Linked DNA regions of Xenopus tropicalis. The protein of the gene in region 3 binds, or shares a complex with, the protein of the main gene of each other region. Links are inferred from orthologs where the notes say so. Each region holds a gene or a part of one and is shown on either strand. Other genes may lie near its edges.

Region 1 (6,074 bases), on a different chromosome or scaffold from region 3:
ACAGGAAATATCAGGGGCCAAACCACTACATATAAAGGGGATCATGCAGGGTTGATTTAAGGAATAGGGGCTTCCAAGCTATTTTGCTAGTGGTTTCTTTATGTTGGCATTAGCTACTACTCTAATATTTCCTTCCCAACTTCAAAATTACCACATACAAGCATATCAATAACATGTGAACTTACCTCTCTCATTTTAAAGAATGCCATTCCAGTAAGTAATGAGTCAGAGCCTGCTTGATGCTGAGGACCAATACGCTTGAGTTCCAGCTGCTCTGCCACTTCCTGCAATCCACCCTGCCAGGAGACAATGGGAAAGTTTTACAGAATACAACCCAAATACCATGTCCCTCTATTAATTCTTGTAGTGGAATCCAAAAATGATGGATTTGATTCATCTCTATCTACGACACAATGGCTGCTGGTCTGCTGTAGAAACCAAAACCAAAACCAAACTAATGAGTAATATTTAGCTAAAAGAATTTTAGAAGAAAAGTACCCAGATTTCCACCATGGTTTACAAAATAAGGCCAGTGCATTTTAGTCTCACCCACCTTGAGATTTTTGCAGCTTTTCATCAGGTATTTGACATCGTATATCACTGGGAAAAACAGGCGCAGGATTTCAAAAAAGTCTAGTTCTACCTCAGGCAGGTTTGAATTTGTCAGAATTTTTATTAGGTAGCCAAAGTCATAGCCACTGCAATGGGAAGGGGTACAGAAAAGATCAGGAAAAAAGGAACACATTTACAGTCACAGACAAGTTTGGCTTATGTGTATTAATGCATGTATGCTTTTAATCATCAGATGTCCCTTTTTAAATTCTACATAGGCAAATAACATTTGCAGTACCAGTCATGGAACTCCAAAGTGACTTTATTTTAGAACAGGGGGTACATTGTTTATTATATTTATAGTGAGTCATGTGACAGAAATTACAACAATTATAACTGCTATAATCAATTATAAGGATATAATTCACTGGGAATTCATGGCTCTTGCGTATTATATCAAGATAATGTTGATAATATTATTAAATGTTCAGCCTAGCTCATTACAAACATACAGTGCAATGTGACATAACACATTATGAATAGAGGGCATTGCTCTATAGTAGAAAGGGTAAGCAACTATGGTAAAACAATGACCTGACAAAGACCGTCTCATTGTTCTGATTGCACAGAGTGCGCCAAATCCTGTGTAGAAAAGAACAACACTGCAATAAAAGAACTGCTGAGGAAAGCAGCAGACTAAAAAAATACAGGATCTCTAGTGGAAACTTCCAGAATAGAGATGATGCTTCCCAACATAATTTACTGGAGGAAGAGCATTGCTTCTCTTGCTTGTATTGAGATGACAGAGGTATACTTGGATAGAATAGCCCTCTAGTAAATTGTAACAAGAAGAAATCACATGGCAATGTAAAGGTTCATTGCCAAAAGCAGAGTGCTTTTAAACATGGAACTGCCAGGTGATTTCTAATATCCTCATATTATACATAGTCATATAGTTGAATGCAAAAGTTTAGGCACCCCTTGCCAAATGACATTTAGTTAGGCAGTGTGTTAAAAGACAACATATATGCAAATGTTGACACATAGTTCCATTACATTTCACTTTAAAAACATAGGAACACAGGAAGTTTGGACACACACACACACACACACACACACGCGTTGTTCAAAGGTTAATAGTAAGGCAGCAGCATCCCCTTAATCACTTAGGATTCCTTCTCCTCCTCTAAGCCACTTCCCCCTCCTGTAGGTATTTGCTCTGGCTCTTGGCTTACTGAGCATGCTCAGTTCTTCTCAACTCAGGTTACCAAACACACCCTCCAGTCTAGCAGCCAATGAAGAGATGGCACTTTGCTGGAGAAACATGTTTTTTTTTTCTTCTAACCTCCTGTCCTGAGCTCAGTTTAACTGTTTAAAGCAGGACTTTTTATCAGTAAGTTCTGCCTATGTAAGCCTGCATTTTTCATTGCATGAACTTTACAGTCTACATGTGCTGTTTGCAGATGTAAATGTCCCAGATGATGTCAGAGAGAAAATGGCCATCTGGTGAAAGCTGCTATTTGTTTTATGAAAATGTGATGGTTCTGGAAAAGAGGGAATATATGCAGTTCAAATGATGCAGTGGGGGTGGGAAAAAAGAGCCCAACTTAAAAACATGGTAGAAAAATGTAAGGGTTCACATGTCTTTTAGTTCTTGTTTTAGGGACTTTTGCCCACTCTAAGCAATGACATCAGTTAGCTGATTATACAGATATAATTTACAGGATATTCATAAAACTTGTGTATTATATAGTAAATAATGTACCTTTGGCCTTATGCTTTTATACAGGTCATGGAACTCCAAGGTGACTTCTAATATCCTCATATTTTACAAAAGGGGGTGCTTTATTTATTACAATACACAGGTTTCAGTGAGTCATGTAACAAAAATGACTTCACTAAGCACCAATTATAACTGATGTCAACACTAAGCACTGTTTATTAAGGATATAATTTACAGGATATTAATGGCCATTTAATATTACAGTGTAACTTACCTGTGAAAGGAAAGCCATTTTACTCCTTCACAAAGGACTACCCCAGACGTCATAAATAACTCTGCAAAATATTGGGTTTCAATGCCTTCTTCCTCATGCTTTTTAAACTGGATCCCGGAGGATGTGAGCAGCTCTATAGAATCTTGGGCGTACATGTCTTCCCTGCAGAAGAGACCATAGAAAGTCTCCTATACAGAGATCTGATACAAGATTTCACAGACTCAATTTACCAATATACAGCAAATGTACATTAACAAAATTAATAGGACTAAGTGCATCTGTTATGATGGTGTCCTCACCTTCCTAGTTTAAATGTAATTTTATTGCCACAACAAATATTTAGTAAGAACATTAATCCCATCTCTGAAATATTATTATCTCTGCTACAATATTGACCATAGCAAACAGATACAGCTTTAGGAACAGCAGAGTTGGACTTGGTAATGCAGCAAATAATATATGCCTTTGTCAGTCTAAAATGCATATATAATCAATATTATTCTTATATTTTGCTAGTTATAGGAAATCATTTTAAAAACGACTTATAAACAAAGGGCATTTCCTATTTAAATAAGCCAGTTTCCATTCCATGTTGCTATAAGTATCTGGTTATAGAAAGAACTCAAAGTGAAAACAAGCATAAACACAGCATAAACATATCTATAAAAATATTTGTTTTCCGTAGTGGCTCCAAAACGTTTCTTTTTAGCTTTTTATTATAGTTACACTATATTTCTGTTAAAATAGCGCATAAAGTTTGCTTTTGGGGAATAATGGATTGGTTGCTGTACTGCTTTCCATAAGCAGAAACCTTATGCAGGTCGTGTTATCCTCCCTATATCTCCTGCTTGCTTCTAGATGTTGGCTAATCTAGTTGCCCTTTAAACTAGAGGTAGTAATTGGGGCTGGGGCTGCAAGTTTCCGGCTGAGACTATGGTAAACTCACATGAAATCACAGAACAGAGGCTTGCACCCACTGCAGGACATACTGATATGCATTCTAGCAATCAATACTTTTTACATTATCTTCAACTATTAGTAAATGTATGCTTGTAGGTAACTAGATAACTACAACATTAATTTAAAAAATGAAATATTTTAAGCTATTTAATTAATATAACTTTTTGCCACTACTTCTATTAATTCTAATAAATATAGATAATCTGTGCAACTTACGTTAAATTAAATTTAAAATTAAATTGCCACGTTGAGGTTCCTGGTGGGTATTCTCCTTGTTCATTCACAAACGTCAGACCCAATTGTATTATCTTTAACAGGTCAACATTACAACGAAGAAGTTGGTATTGATAGTCAGCATTGCTTCGGAATTCCCCTATTGGTCTTGCAACAACTCCTGGAAACTCTGTGTCCTGCAATGGATAATGCGACAAATAATTTGCAACCTTTAAAGGTGGTTGTAAGGATGTGCTCATCAAAACAGTAGCACTTGGAAAAATAATGTTTAAGATACCTCTGAATAATTTGGAACAGTGTGTCGAAATAAGAGATATCTTTAAACAAAATACATATATTTACTTTTTATGCCTTCTTATCGTCAGATTTGTCCAGTTAACATGTCCAGTTAATCTTGTCCCCTGCATTTCCTTATGCGCTTTGTACTTCCGCCCTGTCAAGAAAGTTGCCTAATCTTGTTTTATAGCTTAGCTTTCACAGACAGCAATAGCTATGGCAGTATTAGAGATTCCACATTATATTTTCTACTATAATAATATAGGTAGGACAAATATTGAAATGATCTTGTTATAATATACAGTTTGGTCATTTCCCTATGGGACTAAGCTGTACATTATATCCTTATAAACGGTGCTAAGTGATGTCCTCAGTTAAAATCATAGTTTAGTGATGTAACTTCTGTCATATGACTCACTATAACTTATATATTATAATAAAGTACCCCGTGTTGTAAAATATGAGGATATTAGAAGTCACCTCAGAGTTCCATGACCTGTTTAAGAGCACACGGCCTTGTGCTTTTATATGGTTATGGAACTCCTCTGTGACTTATAATATCCCTATATTTTACAATAATAGGTACTTTATTCACTATATATGTGTTGCTGCGTCTACATAATTTATTAGATAGCATCTGTACACTTTTACAGGCAACTCTCATCTAGCAAACTCTGACACAAACTATCATCAGTTGATTTCAATAAAACTCTGTGGAAATTTTGTCTTCAAGTTTTTGGGCTACTTAAAGGAGAACTATACACCTGGGTGCAAAACACACCATTAACTATCACTGCCTAGACCCCCTCACCTTTCACTTATCGCATAGTTTTTAAGTTTATACTCTGTCCCTATCACTAACTAAAAATGCAAAGAAGCGCAGCCGCGTACCTGGCCGACATTTTCTTACCAACTGAAGACACTTTGGGTCTCACCGCCGATACGAACCTGCTTGCGCATGAGTAGTTGTAGGTAGCAGGAAATCTGCTTCAACTGCGCATTCTCAAGCAGGTTAGGTGTCGGCTGTGAGACCCAAAGAGTCTTCAGTCGGTAAGATGTTGGCGAGGTACGCGGTTGCGCTTGTCTGCATTTTTAGCTAGCAGTCAGCAATAGGGACAGAGTGTAAACTTGAAAACAATGCGATATGGGAGAGGTGGGGGGGGGGTCTAGGCAAAGAGTGCCATCCGGAAGTAAAGTTCTCCTTTAAAAATATGTTAATCAAAGTCCCTGAAACAGCACCGTGTGCCACTATTCTAAGAGTTTTAGTTGCTACCTAGCCTACCCAATGGCAGGCACCTTACCAGACCATGGCCACCATACACCTTTAGCAGTTGAGCCCATGGATCTTTACTATCATAAAGCTGCTACAATTAGCTTAGAATAGAAAATACAGCATTTCTAGCCATATTCTTTTTTTTTAGGCTTTAGTTCTACTTAGAAATATCTTTAACAAATAAGTGCAGTAAGCAGCCTGACTTGTTTCTACACACTAGAAAAATTATAACTGCAATATAAACCGAACCCATTGTACTGGACAAAAAAAATATTAATATTTTAATGTAAACAAGTACTTATATTGCATATTAAAGTAAATTAATTATTCTATTATTGTTATGTCACACGAAACATTGGGCCATTAGAGTCTATAGTTGATATAATATTACCCTGACAGCGGAAGCAGTGTGGCAGATACTGCAAGCAAGGATTGCTTATAAACAGTAAATAGGTTCCCCTTTGAGGAGACTCAAAAATCTATAAAATCTTAAATATTCCTGAACTCTTAATGCCAATTTCAAAAATGAAAAACATTTTTGGAGGGGAAACAAACATCCTAAACATACCATTGCAACATAATTATACTTGCGTATAACTTGGCGGATTCTCTTCATTTGATCATCCAGGTTGCAAGCCCAGACTTCGCAAATTCGCTGGCTGAGGTCCACTGTTGCAGCTGGCATAGTGGGTCTGGGGGACTGACTCAGAGGCAGGCATCAAAATTTTGCAATTAGCTATTAAAGGGTTTCATAGGTGGTAGGCCGAGGCCGAAATCAGCTG
Region 2 (6,074 bases), on a different chromosome or scaffold from region 3:
TATAGTTATTGTTCTTGTAATGCTGGGTAGGTAAAGTAATATTTCTTATAAAAGATACCAGTATTTGTGTTTATATGTATTTTATATTTCTTCCTTTATCATTTTGCTTGATGGTGCAAATAAATGTGGAAATCAATATACAACATATGTGTTATATATCTATTGGTTTTACAGGATTTCTGCCTCCAATTACTCCACCAGAAAAATTTTTCCTCTCACAGTTGATGTTGGCACCACCAAGGGAGCTATTTAAAAAGACACCCAGGCAGATTGCTGTGATGGATGTGACCAGTTTGGCTCAACCAGTGGACATTAGTGGACTACAGTTAGCTCTTGCTGGTAAGGCATTCGAAAACATTCAGATGAACATATTGGGGCTAAAGCTGTCTCATAAAGGCTCAACATGTTAACAAACATATGCTGAGCATTACTTTTGCCATTATAAAGCAGTAATTCCCCACTCTCCACTATAAACAGGGTATTTGTTCAGTGAGAGATAATTTTCTGGGGTTTCTGGATAAGAGATTATGTAATTCGAATCACTATACCTTACATCTGCTAATAATCATTTAAACTTAAGTCAAGTAAACTTAAGTAGAATTTTTTTGCTGCTCCTTTAGTACAAGGTACTGTTTTATTGCTGAGAAAAAGGAAATCATTTTTAAAAATTAGAGTGATTGTTTTTTGTTTTTTTTATTTTAAAGCTTACTTTGTTGTATCTGCTGACTTTCTATTTCCCTCCAGAGCGCCAGTCTGAGCTCCCAACACAGAGCAAAGCCAGCTTTCCCAGTATTCTTAGTGACCCAGACCCAGATTCTTCCAATTCCGGCTTTGACAGTTCTGTTGCATCGCAAATAATAGAAGCATTAGTCAGCGGCCCAAAACCACCAATTGAAAGTACGTTTTGTTTTATTGTTTGTATATGTGTCTAAAACCAAGGTTTTATATTTAGTTAAGTAGTTAAATATACATACATTTTGAAAAACTACTGTAAGAAGTGTATTGAAATGTCTTATTAGTTTGCTTCAAAAACCGTATCCGTCACACTTTATGGCCAAGATTCAAGCTATCTTTATAAAAGACCTTATTAATAAAAGTGGTCACAGATCCTATCCAGTATCCATAATGTACAGCACTGCAGGATTTGACTAGCATTTAGTATAGTTATCTTATGAAGACCTGATATCTTTATATCTGTCCTTTGCTAATTATGAATTGCACACAAATAAAGTTGCAATATTAAAAATTGCTGATACTCACACACAGTGTATCTGAACCTGTCTTTGTGATGTTTCTAGGCCACTTTCGCCCAGAATTTATCCGTCCCCCACCTCCTCTTCATGTTTGTGAGGATGAGTTAGCCTGGCTCAATCTTATAGAACCAGATCATGCCATTAAATGGGACCGATCCATGTGTGTAAAGAACAGCACTGGAGTGGAAATTAAGCGGATTATGGCTAAAGCATTCAAAAGCCCACTTTCCTCTCCTCAGCAAACTCAGGTAAAGAGTAATAAAGTACACAGTATTACCATGATAATATACACCAGATGAGTTAAACTAAGATTACGATTAACCAGTTTTTTTTTCTTCTTATATTCCTTTTGCTAGCTTCTTGGAGAATTAGAAAAAGACCCTAAGTTAGTTTACCACATTGGCCTCACTCCTGCCAAGCTCCCAGATTTGGTAGAAAATAATCCGTTGGTTGCTATTGAAATGCTGCTCAAGTTAATGCAATCAAGTCAAATAACAGAATATTTCTCTGTGCTTGTCAACATGGATATGTCTTTACATTCAATGGAAGTTGTAAATAGGTGAGTCTTTGTTTATTTCTTTTTCTAATAAAATATTTTGCAGGCACAGAACATGGTGAATTGAATATAGTAAGCCTCCAAGGAAATCTGCAAAAAAAACCAATAAACCGAGGGGGCAGATTTTTTAGAGGCTGGACACAAAAACACCTGCTTCTTATCACCAGAAGGGGGCATAAAATATATTTTTTTCACAATACAGTACTTTTTAAAGCATTTTCTTAAAAGATGCAAAACCATTTTTATAAAGTAAGATTTCCCATATATGTACACTTTTTTTGGTTCAAAGAATAGAATGAAATGTACCTGCTTAAAGCTAAATTATTTTATTAGCAGAGATGATTAAGAAAGGTAAATAACCAAGATTGTTAATAAGTATGAGACTTTGTCAGCCTCTGTTAAATCTGCCACTCACTGAACCATTAAGGGCTCTGGCACACGGGGAGATTAGTCGCCCGCAACAAAACTCCCTGTTCACGGGCAACTAATCTCCCCGGATTGCCATCCCACTGGCGAAAATGTAAATCGCCAGTGGGATGGCATACGCAGCGGCGCAAGTTGCTTCGAGAGGAAACATGTGCAATTTCAGTGAAATTGCGCCGCCGTGTATACCATCCCACCGGCGATTTACATTTTCGCCGGTGGGATGGCATTTCGGGGAGGTTAGTCGCCCAAGACACGGGAGATTTGTCGCGGGCGACTAATCTCCCCGTGTGCCAGAGCCCTAAGAAGTCATTCATGTTCATTTACATCTGCTGACAAATATACTGACCTGCAACTCTGAATTAATTTTTTCTTTTGTTGCTTGGTTCATTATAAATTCATTAACTAATGCACATTGAGCATGGGATTCCACACCAATTTATGATATCAAAGGTGTGTTGCTTTCTATATATTTTACTCCTGCTGTGTTTCGTTTTGTCTTAATGCTTTCACCTCAATTCTTAAGCTGGCCTCACACGTGGCGATTTTCGATCCAACCCTCCACTGACGTTCAGCGCTGAATCGTCAGATATGGAGGTAGAAACAATAGGATTTCTACCTCCAGCCCTGAACATAGATTTTGCTCGGGCACAAAATCTTTTAACCCACCTGATCGGCAAGTCGTCCAATATCTGCAGCTTTTTTGCAATATCGGTTGCCTTGTTGAGTTGCCATACATGCACCGAATATCGTACGAAACGAGGTTTCGTACAATATTATCGGTGCGTGTATGCCCAGCGTTAGACAGGATTGCTTTTCCTGATCTCATAGGCCTAGTTCTGATACTTTATAACCTAAATGTGCACCACAGAATTAAGTGCCGTAAGCTTGTTGGGTGGTTTTTCTTTTGCATTATATCTGCTTTTACACTCTACTTTGTGTATACATTTTATTCAAACCAGCCTTTTTAGCTGTGTTTAGTAAAACAAAGAATGTGCATGGGTGCCATAAATTGAAAGTAAAGTTTTGTGTAAATACAATCAAATAAAAACATTTACCAGGGCCCCTTAAATGTATGCTGGTTAGAGTTCATGGACAAAGTTAAATACCAAGTATAAAGTGCATGCTGCTGCTGTATAACAGTATGGTTCAGTGTATATGTAAAAATGTAAATACCTTAATGAAGTATAAATATTTAATATCTAAATCATGTTGTCATTGCTTAAATTTTTTTACAGTGCAATTTAAGATTGAAATGTATTTTGTTGCTATTATTGTTGTGTATCCCAACGCTGTTTAGCTTTAGTGTACCCAGAACTTGAGCTTCTAGTGCGGCCAATCTCCTTTTTCTTGTACTTTCTACCTTGAGGTGGCACACAATACAGTACTCTACGATGAGTAGGGAGACCTGCGGAGAAACCCATGAGTTAAATAGTAGGGAAGCAGCCTATCATCTATATGGTCTTGTTCCTTAATCTGTTTTGTTTTTTATAAACTGTTTTTCTTCTTTTAAGACTTACAACAGCAGTGGATCTTCCTCCTGAGTTCATTCACCTTTACATTTCAAATTGTATATCCACATGTGAGCAGATTAAGGACAAGTATATGCAGGTAAGAAACATGCAAAACATGATACTATCCATTCAGTTAAAGGCTATTTGATTTCTTATCCAGAAGATGGAAAGACAGTTTAGTGCTTTTTTAATGGTGACTAGCGCTTTGAAAAGTCCCAGCAGGCATAGCTCAGGGGTGAGTACTGGGAATGGTTTTGCTGCAAGGGATGTCATCCTCTCCATTAAAAAGCGATTAGATTAAAACTCTCATAATAAATGGAAAATGGAGATATCCAGCTATGGATATATTTACTAGCCTGATTTTTATGATGTAATCTGGGACACTCTTTCATTAACCACATCAATTTGCCCCTGCATGCACCATGAGTGGGCTCCAATTGGGGGGTGCAGCACATGATTCGGGACATTCCTAATAAATTCTATTGTTTTCCCCGTTTTTGTGATAGATTTTTAATGGTGTACTTCCTGGCATAGTCAAAAGAAAAAAATAGCAATAGGGCCTGTGATGTTGCCCATAGAAACCAATCAGATCTTTTCTGTTGTTTTCTAACTTGTAGGTGACTGTCTAATTGGCTGGTTTGTCTCTGTTAATAAAAATGCCCCCAAATGTAAAGAAATAGGGGCTCACATATCAAATTTTACAAGATTCCTGTACGTTTTAATAGAGGCTTGAATTGATAGGGCAGTTCAAAAGAACCTTTAGATATTGTTTAATCTCCTAGGATTAGTTATTCTAAACCAGCCAAAACAACAGCTGTTTGTGTCAAATGTCACTAAAGGCTACTGGCAGTGATTTTTTTGTTCATATATATATATTTATTGATCCGTATTTTCTGTATTGTACTTTTGTTTAGACACTTAACGTTAAAACATTAATCACATCCTGCTTTTCTTTGCATTATGACTAAAGGTCTTATGTGTTAGTTAAAGTATGAATTGCCCTGTATGCCAGGTGCTCCAGTAGTTTTGCATAGCTACTAAAACTTATAAAAAAAGAGGCAAACAGTTTATTTGCAGAGAATTAAAAATGAGTCCTTTGTAAAGGGAATTGGTCATTATTTTGCAACTGAAGAAGAGGGAAATGGTTACGTAAAACTAGTTGCTACAGAAGAAAGGGGAAAACAACCAAACATGGGTGTGCTGTGCTCTTATTTGACCTTTTTGATATATAATACTGTGTGGCCTCTTGTATATGGACACCACTTATAATTAGTGGAATTGATTAAGCTATGCCCATCATTGCTGACACAGGTGCCACTTGACAGTTCTTATGGCTTTTTGGTGCTAGTTTGGGGAAGTCTCTATTTGAGCAGGATTAAGCCCCCGTTTTAGAATATGTTGGACAGGCAGGTGTCCACCTACATTTGGCATTATAATGTATGTATGTTTTCCCTCCTTCCTTCTGAAACATTATCATGACTTCCTAATCAGATATTTCTTATTTTTATCTGATGTTTCTTAACATTTGGATTTTAGAGCTCTGGATTGACATTATTTCTGTGCTGACTTCCCAAGTACATGTATTTGATGCTGATGTTGACAATATTGTGTGTTTCATTTGCTGTAAACTCCAAATGTATTGTGTGGGGAGAGCTACAATTCATGTCATAGCTTTTCATGTATTAACATGCTAATGTATTTATTTTTTTGTTCATCTGTTACAGAATCGTTTGGTGCGATTAGTTTGTGTTTTCCTCCAGTCCTTGATTAGAAACAAGATAATCAACGTCCAGGACTTGTTTATAGAGGTGCAAGCTTTCTGTATAGAGTTCAGCAGGATCCGGGAAGCAGCCGGCTTGTTCAGGTTGTTAAAAACTTTGGACACTGGAGAAAACCCTTCAGAGGCAAAGCCTTCAAAATAAGATTTTTCTCATTGCCTTTGTAAAGAAACTGCTATCTGTAGATGGAGTCTTGTAAATTAACTTTTTTTTTTTTTTAATATTTCGTTTTAAGCATTTTGATGTACTGTGCTCAGGGCATAGTGTATTCCTACAGTTTAAAAGCATTTTATGCCCAGTAAATAGTTTTTCACCTGTACACTTTAGGGCAATTCCAGAAATACTTTTTCCTAAATATTTAAATTTGTAAATATTCTGTGACTGTTTGTTGGCTGGTTCGGGCTACATTTCCATGACTAATAGGTGTTGGAATAAAATGTACTCTTCTGATGCCCTTACAGAACTGTGAAAGTATTCTTGTTCATTGTTCAAAAAGAACAATGTTATTTGCAGGCAAACCGCTGCATTTATTACAGCTATGTGCATAGCT
Region 3 (6,074 bases):
GGTTTTTCATATAAGGACCTTGGAAAAAGATAATTTAAACATTAATTATAACCAACAAGACTATTTTGCCTCCAATAAGGATGTATATGGATGATATCTTAGTTTGAATCAAGTCCAAGGTACTGTTTTATTATTACAGAGAAGGAAATCTTTTTTAAAAAATGTGAATTATTTGCTTAAAATGGAGTCTATGGAAGATAGCTTTTCCGAAATTCAAAGCTTTTTGGATAAAAGGTGTCCTGATAGCGGATCAAAACAATGAAGGAAGTGCTTTTCAACTTGTCACTTAATACTAAAAAAACAGATATGATCTTTCAGTTATGCATGTATATTGAAATGCATTAAAATGTAATAGAGCATGAAACAATACTGACCTTGTCCCTAATATGAATATTTGTTAAATACTCCGAGGGGACATGGAAATCTGAACACATGGGAATAAAAACATTTATTAGAAATGTAGAAATCCTGCAATTTTTTTATTATACATGCAAGTGAATAACTTTTTTTTAATTTTATTTTAATCATACCAATGTCTTGAGGCCGACAGGGTGAAGATGCCCACGGTGACGCAAATTTTGGATATAGATTTCTGGGTGCAAAATTAAAACAAATAAACTTGAGGTGTTTGTTCAAAAAATAAGGTTTACGCTATAAACCCATGCAAATGTTGTAAAGACAGGTAAATTTTTTTGCATCTGTAAAATATACCCTAGAAATATGGTAACCAGAATTCTATATGAAAAAGTCATAGCGATTTCTCCCATTTATGACACACCGTAGCCTCTATAATCCCCCCCAAAAAAAACAAGTACACTTTGATTCATTAAATAAATCATTTCGGGTTGGTCATGGTTTGTTTATATTTTTCCAACCCCCTCCTGAGATTTGCAGTCCCCTTTATGGTAAAAAAGGAGACACAGTATAAGTGTTTTTGATTAGTTCCCATTCAGTCTCAATCCCAATGCCACACTGAGAATTAAAAACATACAGGCAGATTAACTAGCTCCTGATAAAAGTGACCCTGTTGGGTACTTATTTATTTACCTACAGTAGGAACCTTATGGTTATGAATTTATATGACTGTATGGTTTGTCTGTATAGTTGTGCTATATATAATGGTGCTATAGAAATGTGGGATAACAATATTATTAAAAAAACAGGGAATTCGTTAACAGGCTAACTAAATAGGGAGGTGAGGGAATGCCACTAATTTGATGTATTAAATGAAGAAGTGTTTAAACCTTTTTTTCAATAGTTGGCCTGCCATAGTTTTAGCAGTGCCACTTGGTCATTATTGTTTGAGTCCCGCCAGTTAAAACCATGGTAGACGCCAGTGTTATAAATATTGAAGAAAAATTAGAAATACTGGCTCTCATTACAGAAAAAGTGCCAACCCTACCTGCAAGCAGAATTACGCCCTACAAGAGATATTTTTGACAGCCTAACACTTCCACAGACTTCATTTATCACATCTTCATTCTATGGTATATTTTGTTCAATCAACTCACTACATAAGAAAAAATATCCCTCTTTAATTAAAAACTAAACATGCTTACAAATAAATAAACTGTCATTAAAAATGCCTTATGCAATCTAAAATACAATGTAGAACACTTCAGTTTACAACTGAAATGCAGTTGGAAAGATGATGCACTTCCTCTGCCAGATACACGCAAGCTCTCTTCTCTCTCCTGCTCCCCCCTCCCTCAAGAATGCTAAGAACTCCCTCCCCCTCATAGGAAAGTGCGATCTGAGCCAATCAGCAGGAAGCTTCCTCATAGTCTTACTAACTGAGCATGTACACTAGTCTTGGTCTTGGTGCAGGAGCAAGGCATTATGGGAACTTTTTTTTTACACAGAGCTCAGCATTTTTTTTTCCTATAGGCTTCTGATCATCTGAACAGGAGAAATATGGGGAGACTTAAGGGCACTATTGAGAGAACTGAAGGTATGCCTGCAGCTTGAGATTAACTCTTTATTAGCCTTTCCTTCTCCTTTAACACAGTCTCACTTTTACTGTAGCTGATAATATTGGCTGAAAGATACTAATACAGGGAGGGATATAATAACAATATCTGCAAGACTGACATTTAGTTTAAGCATAGATCTAAAAACAGTGTGCAATGTATTCCTGTTCTGCAGCTAAAGAAACATGCTTCACTGAGGGGAAAAAAAACAAGCAAACAGAAAAACTATTAATAAAAACAACAGACAATACAACATTGTGATTGGTTGAACAGTAAGAGCTCTTAAGTCAACAGGCCAATCAATCATATACTGTATAGGTTGGGCCCATGTATGGCTGCCTTCAGACCATGCATCTAAGCATTGTAAGGAATAGGATTGTAGGAATAGAACAGCAGGTGAACAAATTAGAAAGGTGCTTCAAGCTGATTGCTCACCTTTCTAGTTAGTTCGGTTAAAGCCTCTCACGGCTTCCCTAGTAAGGATATTAATAGTCTTTTCATATCTAGAGGATCTTCTTGTCCTGCAAGTCTACTGCCATGCTATGCAGGTATTTAGAATCACAATCATAACACAAGACAGGGAATGCAGTCTTCAAAACACTAGATCATACATTACAGGGTTATCAGTGAATACGATGCTAACACAACTTTATTCAGCATGACAACTTTGATGACAGCTACAGAAATCTGTACTCATTGGTGTCACTTACTCAGGAGAATTCAGATTGAGGCCTAGTGTTGTCAAGTCATTTCCTAATGCAAGATGTACCATTCCTGGATCTGTTTCTGCTGCCCTGATGAATGTTAACAAGCCAATCATGCCAAACTGATCTGTTACCATGCCTTGAGGAATGTTGGTAACTCGCCCTTGACAAAAACATGAAAAAAAAATGAGTGCTCCAAAGTGATTATAAAATAAATTTACTTAATACAGGTTACACAATACTTACCATCTGGCAAAACCTGAATGCCTTTTTTCTGCTGGTTGTTGTTTTGCGTTGTGGAACTTTTGTCTCCAGGGAATTTGGGCCCATCTGTACTTGAGGCAGACTTTCCTGGTGTATTTAAATTCTATACAAAGCAAATATATAGGTTTGGTTTTATTCATAATAAAATAAGCACTATAATGTGCATCCAAAACAAACTGGCTATCAATGCTCTTTAAATGCAGCTGATATGCTCAATGTTTCCAAATCAATCAATTCTGTGATTCAGGCATGTTAGGAAATACTGTATGTGTGTGTTCTTTTTATATCAATTTTCATTGATAAATTAAAAACTAAAGATACATTCCACTTAGAGCAAGGTAAAAACAAATCACCAGTCCAGTAAATATACACCAACCTTTCCCTTGCACCAGCTACAGCCTGTTATCTTTTTAGATAAAGAATATTTCATTGTAGAAACTTCTTAGTGGACTGATTTGTTTTGATCTTGCTCGGCAGGAGAGGATGTCGAATTTTAAGATCAACTACAAGGTACAGTTTATCATTACAGTGTAAAATGAAATAATTTAAAACAACTGGAATTGCTTTTGACTGTATGGGAGATGACATTCCCATAAATCAGAGCTTTATAGATAATGGGTTTTGGGATAAATACCACAAATGCAGAGAAATGTTAATTACAAAAAAGAAATCTAATGAGGATATGTAATATCAACCTCAAAAAATATATATTGTTAGAGGTAATCATTTACCTGGTTTCAAGTCTAGAGATACATTGTTTTGTTACGAAAGAAAACAAATAGTAGAATTGTAAAACAGTTGAAATATACTGATAACTACTTGCAGCTAATAAATGTACTTACAGATTTGCTATCATCATTGCTTGATGTTGGATCTTTATAGCTGGAACCCGGTAATGCAGGGAAATCCTCGTTATGTATTGAGAAGTCTTGAGACTGCTCACTTGCTGGTTTTGTAACCATTCCAACTGCAAAAGATAAATAACAATAGGTTTCGTTTTTATTGACCATTCCCCGAAAGGCCTATGTGCCAGGTTTTGTCTGCTTTGCTTTTAACACCTAGAAAACTACTGCCCATTGCTGAATCCTACTGTGATAGTTGGGAATTGCTTGAAAGCCAGAGAACATCACCTGAAGCTAAGTTTAAATTCCAAAAAGGCCAGCCTTTACCAGTATCAACCCACAAACTAGTCAGATAACACAAGTCCCCTAGTACAAAAATAATTTAAAAGTATAAGGCTGATTTTTGGCAGGCAGAAATAAGCAGTCTGGGAATCAGTCCCTACCCTATCATCAGCCTTTTACTTTTCCTGCACCTGGAACCATGGGGTTGGCCCGGCTGCAGGCACACGCGACAGGTATCAGCTCTAAAATGTTGCGTTTGTTTGCCAATATCTGCTGTGTGTCTCTGCACCCAGGCCTAAGACATAATAGCAACAAACATGTTAAACTACAAGAAAACTGAAGGAACACAGTCTAAAATTTGAAAACACATCTCATATGCTTCAATGATAAAGAGTATGATTCAAATAGCATATATAAACATAGAAAAGAACCATTTATTTTTTTGGGGGGGAAATCTGTGCATACTAGTGATGTAAGCAACATTATTTGTAGATCAGGTCATTTTTACCTTAAATTAAGTGTTTATAGTTTACAGTGGGCATAAAAAAAATGTTCTTTTATATATCAGCTTTTACGTAAAGACACCATATAGTCTGTTGTGTAATACTACATTATTAGAACAGCACCTCTAATACTACACAAACAATAATATATAGTATTGTTCCATCAAAGTACACAAAAATAGTCATATTAATTGGGTTTTTAAGTATCACATTTTAAGACTTTTTACACATTTAAACACACTGTACCTTAACAGTCACACCACCCTGTACTCTAACTTTATTGCAGTGAAACAGTGTGGAGTTGCACTTTCAATAGCATGTTATAAACTAGTTGGAATAGTGAAACTGATTTATTAAATACTGAGGGAATCCAGAAGGATCCACTACTGTTTGATTTGTTTTGGACTCATCAAACTGGCAGGATGGTTTATCAAAGCTGGTACCTGTGTCAATTCACTAGAAACTACAGTATTGCTTTAAGCTATCATTTCCAATGAGTATTGGTGCACAGCATTGTTTCTGAGCTGTGCTGTATACATTCTAATGCTATTCAAAATCCTTACTGATCAATGCACACTGCATGCAGTAAAAAGGATTTGGAAAATTCTCCACATTGAAATAAAATAACATCCAGCTGTCTGACAGGTATAATGTATAACAATATATAGAATTTTAATTTTTTCTTGTTACTGGTCCTTTTCAAACATAAAAGTCTCACCGTAAGGAGCCCTTCCGGCTAATGGATTTATTAACGGAGTAGGGTTGCCGCTACCTTCCCTTCGATTTCTATCTGCTAATGCTGGAAAATCTGAGAGGTCCAGTCCAGTCACATTTTCACTTCCATCTAAAAGAAAACAGCAATTGTTTATATATATTTATATATATATATGTGTATATCGGTCCTCACCTCGGACCTTTATCCTATATAGAGAGAGAAAAAGAGACAGAATGAAAGAGAGAAAACACCATGGCGATTATAACACCACTCCCGGTAGATTTCCATTCTACTGAATAAAAAACAGCTGCTCCATGGCACATACTAAATAGGCATCAGCTGCCTCATGGCAAACTGTTATGGAATTAAGCACGTTTTGCTAGTCTGCACTAAAGAGAGACAGCAGCTTACAGAAATCTCAGAGGGCCACAGGGAAGTCTATTCCATTTACAATAAGAATTAACAACTGGTGTTTATAGAGTGACTGCAACTTTTCCTTCAGTAAAATAAAACATCTGTTCCTGGACTAAATTACTTGACACAGCACATGCTTATCCCAGTTGTAACTTTACTACTTGTCTAGTACCCACAGCACTGATTAACGGGTAGCATTTAATGTTCAGCGTTTTAAAACAAACACCTGATTGGTTGCTATGGGTTACTAAATGGGGGAAAACTTAATATAGTGTATTACATTAAACTGTAAAAAAAAAAAAAAAAAAAAAAAATGAAAAGTTTGTCTAAAAGATAACATACCTGTTCCATTAAATATGTTATTCGATAAGGAATTGTTC
Region 4 (6,074 bases), about 39 Mb from region 3:
TCTGAAGTCTCCCAAAAGCATGTGGGAAAAGGTGTTATGGTCTGATGAAACCAAGGTTGAACTTTTTGGCCATAATTCCAAAAAATATGTTTGGCACAAAAACAATACTGCACATCACCAAAAGAACACCATACCCTTAGGGGCACATTTACTAATCCACGAACGTCCAAAAAGCGTCCGAATGCGTTTTTTCGTAATGATCTGTATTTTGCGACTTTTTCGCGAATTGTCGCGAATTTTTCGAGTGTTCAATACGACAATTCGAGAAAGTCGTAATGGATATGCAAAAGTCGCGACAATTCACGAAAGTCATAATGGCTATGCAAAAGTCGCAACGATTCATGAAAGTCATAATGGCTATGAAAAAGTCGCGACAATTCCCGAAAGTCATCATGGCTAAGAAAAAGTCGCGACAATCCACAAAATTTGTAATGGCTATGAAAAAAGCCGCGACAATTCGCGCAAGTCGTAACGGTTACGAAAAAGTTGCGACAATTTACGAAGAAGTCATAACGACGATGAAAAAAATCACAAACAATACAAAAAAGTCGCAAAATGTTCGTTTTCCAATCTGAATTTTTCTCATTCGGATTCGTGGATTAGTAAATCAGCCCCTTAGTGAAGCATGGTGGTGGCAGCATCATGCTTTGGGGCTGTTTTTCTTCAGCTGGAACTGGGGCCTTAGTTAAGATAGAGGGATTTATGAACAGTTCCAAATACCAGTCAATATTGGCACAAAACCTTCAGGCTTCTGCTAGAAACGACCCAAAGCATACATCCAAATCAACAAAGGAATGACTTCATTGGAAGAAGATTAAAGTTTTGGAATGGCCCAACCAGAGCCCAGACTTGAATCCGATTGAAAATCTGTGGAATGATCTGAAGAGGGCTGTGCCCAGGAGATGCCCTCGCAATCTGACAGATTTGGAGTGTTTCTGCAAAGAAAAGTGGGCAAATCTTGCAAAGTAAAAATGTGCCATGCTGATAGACTCATACCCAAAAAGGCTGAGTGCTGTAATAAAATCAAAAGGTGCTTCAACAAAGTATTAGTTTAAGGGTGTGCACACTTGTGCAACCACATTATTTTAGTTTTTTTGGTTTTCTTCCCTCCACCTAAAAGATTTCAGTTTGTTTTTCAATTGAGTGGTACAGTTTATAGGTCACATTAAAGGTGGAATAAGTTCTGAAATGATTTATCTTTGTCTCATTTTTGTACAGCACAGGAACCTGACATTTTACCAGGGGTGTGTAGATTTTTATATCCACTGTACTTTTCCCTGCTTTCTGCCAGGAGCACAGGCTTAAACTGTGCATGGACCAAGTCACTCAAGAGCTGGGAAAAGGACTTCGAATGGCCAGAGATGGTGGCTCTGCTTTTTATTATCAAGTATAAGCAAACAATAAAGTACTGGGATTCCTGTATCCATGGCTGAAAGACACAGCAGTCAGCACCCAAGTAGCTATTAATTACCAAGGAAATAAAAGTTAAGAATCACTGTTTGTACCTGTAAAAAACTGGATGTGTTTGTAGGAAAAACCACAACATGCCTTTAAAGAAACAATATGTTCAACATGAGCAAATGAAGTAAGGCTTGTGTTAAAAATGATAATAAACAGAATACATTTTTTTTTTTTTTTTGAATATAGGACTAAAGGATTACAGGTTTTTTTTACCATTACTATGTCCCCTTCACCCCTGCCAGTGTCTCAGGTTTACAGATAAGGACAATTTAATTATGCATGGGTTTAATAGCAGCTGCTGATTAACTATACCTTAACCGCATAAGCCCATTTGAATGAAGTCTTTTAATAAACCCTTTAAAAATTATAATGATGTTGTTTTTAGTTTTCAACGGAGAGCAAAGTCCTTTTCAGATAAAAGGTATCAGAAATGCTGAACCCTACCTGTGAAATGAAAGCCATTTCACATTGTCACATAAGACCACACCGGATGTCATGAGCAGCTCTGCAAAGGTTAGGGTGTCTATGCCTTCCTCTTCGTGCTTTTGGAACTGAAGCCCAGAATTCGCCAACAAGTCAATAGAATCCTGAGAATACATATCCTCACTGTAACAGAAGCCATACACAAAATGTTACTTTTTTCATTTACAGCAAATTTTCTGCATTATATCCTTTTTGGACTGAAATCACTTCAGTGATTAGCCTGCAAAGGAGTCTTATATCTATCTGTATTCATAAGGGTGGGTGCAGTAGTATGACCCTAACAAGGCAGCCACCTAAAATACCTCTAATACCCAAAATATCATAGTAATGTAAAGTGTCTGCTCAGCCTTGACAAGCAATACATTTACACAATTTTGCATTTAAAAGCGCTTGGGTAAAAGAAAATGTTTTTCTAAACCCATGTTTTATCAGTTAAAAAAACAAAACAAAAAAACAAAAAAGAGCAATTCAATGAATCCCAAAGCTAAACAGCAAGGCTTGGCCCAATTTTCAGCCAGACATCAATTGGGGAGGCCTCTTGGAGGACTCCATACATGGACAGATAATCTGTTGAATCAGTCTGAAGGACCCGAATCAGCAGCTTGAATTTGTCCATGTATGGACACCTTTACAGTGAAGACATATGGAGCTACTAGTAGCAGCTACTTTTCAGGGCTACGGAAATAGACAATGCTGATCATTTACCAATAATTGTCTTTACATGTGTTTTACCAGAGGCAATTCTCAGTATTGTCTATGGCAGGGTATTACCTAGCATTTAGTAGCCATGACAAGTAGCTGCTACTACTGTGTCTTCACAAATCACTGAATGGGAACTAAATTATTACTTGACTTTTAAAGACAAATCTAATACATTTTGGTGTTATTCCAAGGAACAGGGCCAAAGTGATAGTGGAATGAAAGTTATAAAGGTGTATATATGTTATTATTAACAGCGGTTAATAGCTGGGGTTGCCATATTTGTTAAAATAGATACCAGCCTTTATATATGTTGCCTTTTATCCTATTTATAACATTGGCATTAAGTATAAATCATACAGGGCAGGTGGCAACCCTTACAACAACAATTTACTTGCAATACATAGGAAATGGGTGTATAGCACCATAATAGCAAAGTTCTTAGCAGACAATGACCCACAGTTGTTAAAGCATGGAAAAGGACAAACATACGTGAGGTTAAACTTGAAGTTGAATTGCCATGTGTTGATCCCAGGTGGATACTCCCCCTTTTCATTCATAAAAGTAAGCCCAAGCTGAATGATTTTCAGAAGGTCAACATTACAGCGCAATAGTTGGTACTGATAATCTATTGTGCTCCGGAATTCACCGATGGGCCGCACCACAACTCCAGGAAACTCTGTGTCCTAAGAAAACACATGTAAAAATAAAAATATGAACACTGAATTTAACAGTAGGCTTATAAAATTAATTAAATGAGTCACTGTAAACAAATACCCCTGACTTTGTTGGTCTATTGTAGATATTAAGATAAGGCTTTTACTGCTGTTTGAAAATGTTATCCTCCCTGCATTTAGCCTTGTCCCTATATTAATTCTAAAGCTGTCAGATATACAAATCCCAGTATAGCTGAATAGGTGCAGATCTGGACAAGACGGTATTTTTTTAATGAAATTTTTATATAATTTGTTCATAAATTTGTTAAAGGGGGGTTTTGTACTGTTTCAGTGTTTGCAGATGAGAAAACTATGCAGCCCAATTCATTCCATCCAGGGCGTGGCATCCTTGCAGCAAGATGTTGACAAACTGACAATCTGGGCGGCTGAATGTGGATAAATGTAAGGTCATGCATCTGGGATGTAAAAATATGCAGCCACTTATACCCTTAATGGGACTGCACTAGGCAAATCCATAAAGGACCTAGAGAAAGTCCAAAGTAGGTCAACTAAGCTGGTAACAAGTATGGGAAGTCTCAGTTATGATGAAAGCCTAACCAAGTTGAAATTGTTTATACTGGATAAGAGGGGGATATGATAACTATGTACAGGTATGGGTTCCATTATCTGGAAACTAAATATACAGAAAGCTTTAAATGATGGGAAGGCCATCTCCCATAGACTCCATATTAATCAAAAAATTCTAATATATCAAAACTATTTCATTTTTCTTTGCAATAATAAAACAGTACCTTGTATTTGATCCCAAGATTTAATTCATTCTCAATCCTATTGAGTTGATTTAATATTTTTAGTAGACTTAAGGTATAGAGATCCAAACCATGGAAAGATCCCATATTTGGAAAACCCCAGGTCCCATATAATAAACTCTCTAATGATTATTTACCAGGAAGTCCTTTTAGCAGACACAAGGGCATTCATTCAGATTAGAATAAAGGAGGTGCCATTTTAATATTGAAAAGGGGTTTTAAAGTAAAAGTTGTGAAGTTTGTGGAATTCTCTCCTTGAAGTGGTTACATGGCTGATACATTAGACAGCTTAAAGAAGGGGATGGATGACTTTTTAGCAAGTGAGAGAATACAGGTTTTAGTCAAAGTTGATCCATGAACTGGTCTCCATCTTGGAGTCAGAAAAGAATTTTTCCCCTCTGGGCATATTGGAAAGGCTTCAGTATGGTTTTTTTTTTGCCTTTTTACAACTAGCAGTTAGGCAGATTTTATATATAAATAAAAGGTTGAGCTAAATGAATGTACTTTTTTAACCTAAGTTACTCTGTTACTATTGTAGGGCAAGGTCTAATATCATTCTGGAGGGCCGCAGCTATGTGTAGGCCTTTCCACCGGCAATTCCTTTTGTTGCCGGTAAAAAGGGCATTTTGGAGAGATTAGTCGCCTGCGGAAACAGAGATTTATCACGGGCGGCTAATCTCTCTGTGGGACATTAGTGCTACATTTAATATTAACACATCTGTAAACTGCAAACTTATTTGGCAGCACTGTACAATAGTACAAACAGTGAGTTTATACAATGAATAAGCTTACAAATGTACCCAAGTTCAATATAAATCCAATAAATAGGGCTCTAAATACATTGTGGCACATTGACCTTTACACTCGATCCTACCTACTAAGATCTTCAGAGCAGCTGTGGAAAGGGGTAGTTACCACCTGTACCAGTTAAACTCCTGTATAGAGAACAAACTCCTTCTCTTAGCATATTACATAGGCAGCATTGTGGGATAGGGTGGGGTTAAATTATACATATGTTGTTATTTTCCTTTATATCTCTATAACTCTCTTGATTATATTTTTGTATTAAAGGAATGTGCACAATGCATTTTTGACACAAGCCCTACTTATACTTAAAACAGACTTAAGGCTTATGATCACAGACACTACTTGTGCACAAAAAAGAGTGAAGGTCCACATACACGGCCCGACTGTAGGCCATGTAGGGGCAGAAACAACGGTCGGGCAGGTTAAAAGATTTAGTCGGACCGGGGACCGCCATTATAATTCAATCATTTGGCCCCAGGGATCAAATTAGCCTACATGTTCCCCGATATCTCCCCCCCCGTAGGTGGGGATATCAGGTGAAGATCCGCTTGCTTGGCGACATCGCCAAGCGAGCAAATCTTCACGTGTATGGGCACCTTTAGTCAGAGTCAACCAGCAATCCTGATGAATCCCAATAGGCCTGTCAAAAGCCAAAACCCTATACATCTCAATTGCAACTGGGATAAGGGGGTAATATAATAATATACCCACGCAGACAAAGTGTCAGTTTAATGTAGACTTACCATTGCTATGTAGCCATAAGTGCGAACAAGCTCTCTAATTTTATGCATCTCCTCCTCCAAGTTGACAGCCCACACCTCACATATCACTTGGCTATTATCTACCACTGCTGCAGGCATCTTGAATTCAGAAAGGTGGCCAGTGAGATGTGTGGTACAGACAGAAAATCAAGCAGTGTTTTCCCCAGACAGAGGTGATGTCTCTTACCTAAAAATTTTAAAATATATACTTTAAGGTTAACTTGCAGAAACCCAAACATATTAAGAATTTGCAATCAAAAGACATATTAAACAATTATAGGTAAGGGAAAGGCAACACTGGGAAACACTACCCTGTTAGCCTTGCGGATGGTGAATACAGGGAAATGTTCTCCTGCCACCATTTGCCTTGCCTTGTA

What was found. The genes of interacting proteins can lie anywhere in the genome.
Region 1: cnot2 (region 3) and cnot7 share a complex: the UniProt entries of both Homo sapiens proteins name them as parts of the CCR4-NOT complex. The link is inferred for Xenopus tropicalis from reciprocal best matches to the Homo sapiens genes CNOT2 and CNOT7.
Region 2: cnot2 (region 3) and cnot11 share a complex: the UniProt entries of both Homo sapiens proteins name them as parts of the CCR4-NOT complex. The link is inferred for Xenopus tropicalis from reciprocal best matches to the Homo sapiens genes CNOT2 and CNOT11.
Region 4: cnot2 (region 3) and cnot8 share a complex: the UniProt entries of both Homo sapiens proteins name them as parts of the CCR4-NOT complex. The link is inferred for Xenopus tropicalis from reciprocal best matches to the Homo sapiens genes CNOT2 and CNOT8.

The regions. Positions count from the first base shown.
Region 1 is NC_030677.2:42,295,092-42,301,165, forward strand, and holds part of cnot7 (CCR4-NOT transcription complex subunit 7), read right to left. Parts: 5' UTR 5,978-6,074; coding exon 5,861-5,977; intron 3,920-5,860; coding exon 3,726-3,919; intron 2,712-3,725; coding exon 2,550-2,711; intron 699-2,549; coding exon 554-698; intron 297-553; coding exon 186-296; intron 1-185. UniProt on the Homo sapiens protein: Has 3'-5' poly(A) exoribonuclease activity for synthetic poly(A) RNA substrate. Its function seems to be partially redundant with that of CNOT8.
Region 2 is NC_030678.2:110,383,568-110,389,641, forward strand, and holds the end of cnot11 (CCR4-NOT transcription complex subunit 11), read left to right. Parts: intron 1-174; coding exon 175-339; intron 340-744; coding exon 745-897; intron 898-1,298; coding exon 1,299-1,501; intron 1,502-1,609; coding exon 1,610-1,812; intron 1,813-3,746; coding exon 3,747-3,843; intron 3,844-5,470; coding exon 5,471-5,668; 3' UTR 5,669-5,984; downstream 5,985-6,074. UniProt on the Homo sapiens protein: Component of the CCR4-NOT complex which is one of the major cellular mRNA deadenylases and is linked to various cellular processes including bulk mRNA degradation, miRNA-mediated repression, translational repression during translational initiation and general transcription regulation.
Region 3 is NC_030679.2:59,346,766-59,352,839, reverse strand, and holds part of cnot2 (CCR4-NOT transcription complex subunit 2), read right to left. Parts: coding exon 6,037-6,074; intron 5,410-6,036; coding exon 5,284-5,409; intron 3,906-5,283; coding exon 3,781-3,905; intron 3,042-3,780; coding exon 2,921-3,041; intron 2,838-2,920; coding exon 2,681-2,837; intron 593-2,680; coding exon 531-592; intron 425-530; coding exon 375-424; intron 1-374. UniProt on the Homo sapiens protein: Component of the CCR4-NOT complex which is one of the major cellular mRNA deadenylases and is linked to various cellular processes including bulk mRNA degradation, miRNA-mediated repression, translational repression during translational initiation and general transcription regulation.
Region 4 is NC_030679.2:19,858,555-19,864,628, reverse strand, and holds part of cnot8 (CCR4-NOT transcription complex subunit 8), read right to left. Parts: intron 5,885-6,074; 5' UTR 5,797-5,884; coding exon 5,680-5,796; intron 3,330-5,679; coding exon 3,136-3,329; intron 2,068-3,135; coding exon 1,906-2,067; intron 1-1,905. UniProt on the Homo sapiens protein: Has 3'-5' poly(A) exoribonuclease activity for synthetic poly(A) RNA substrate. Its function seems to be partially redundant with that of CNOT7.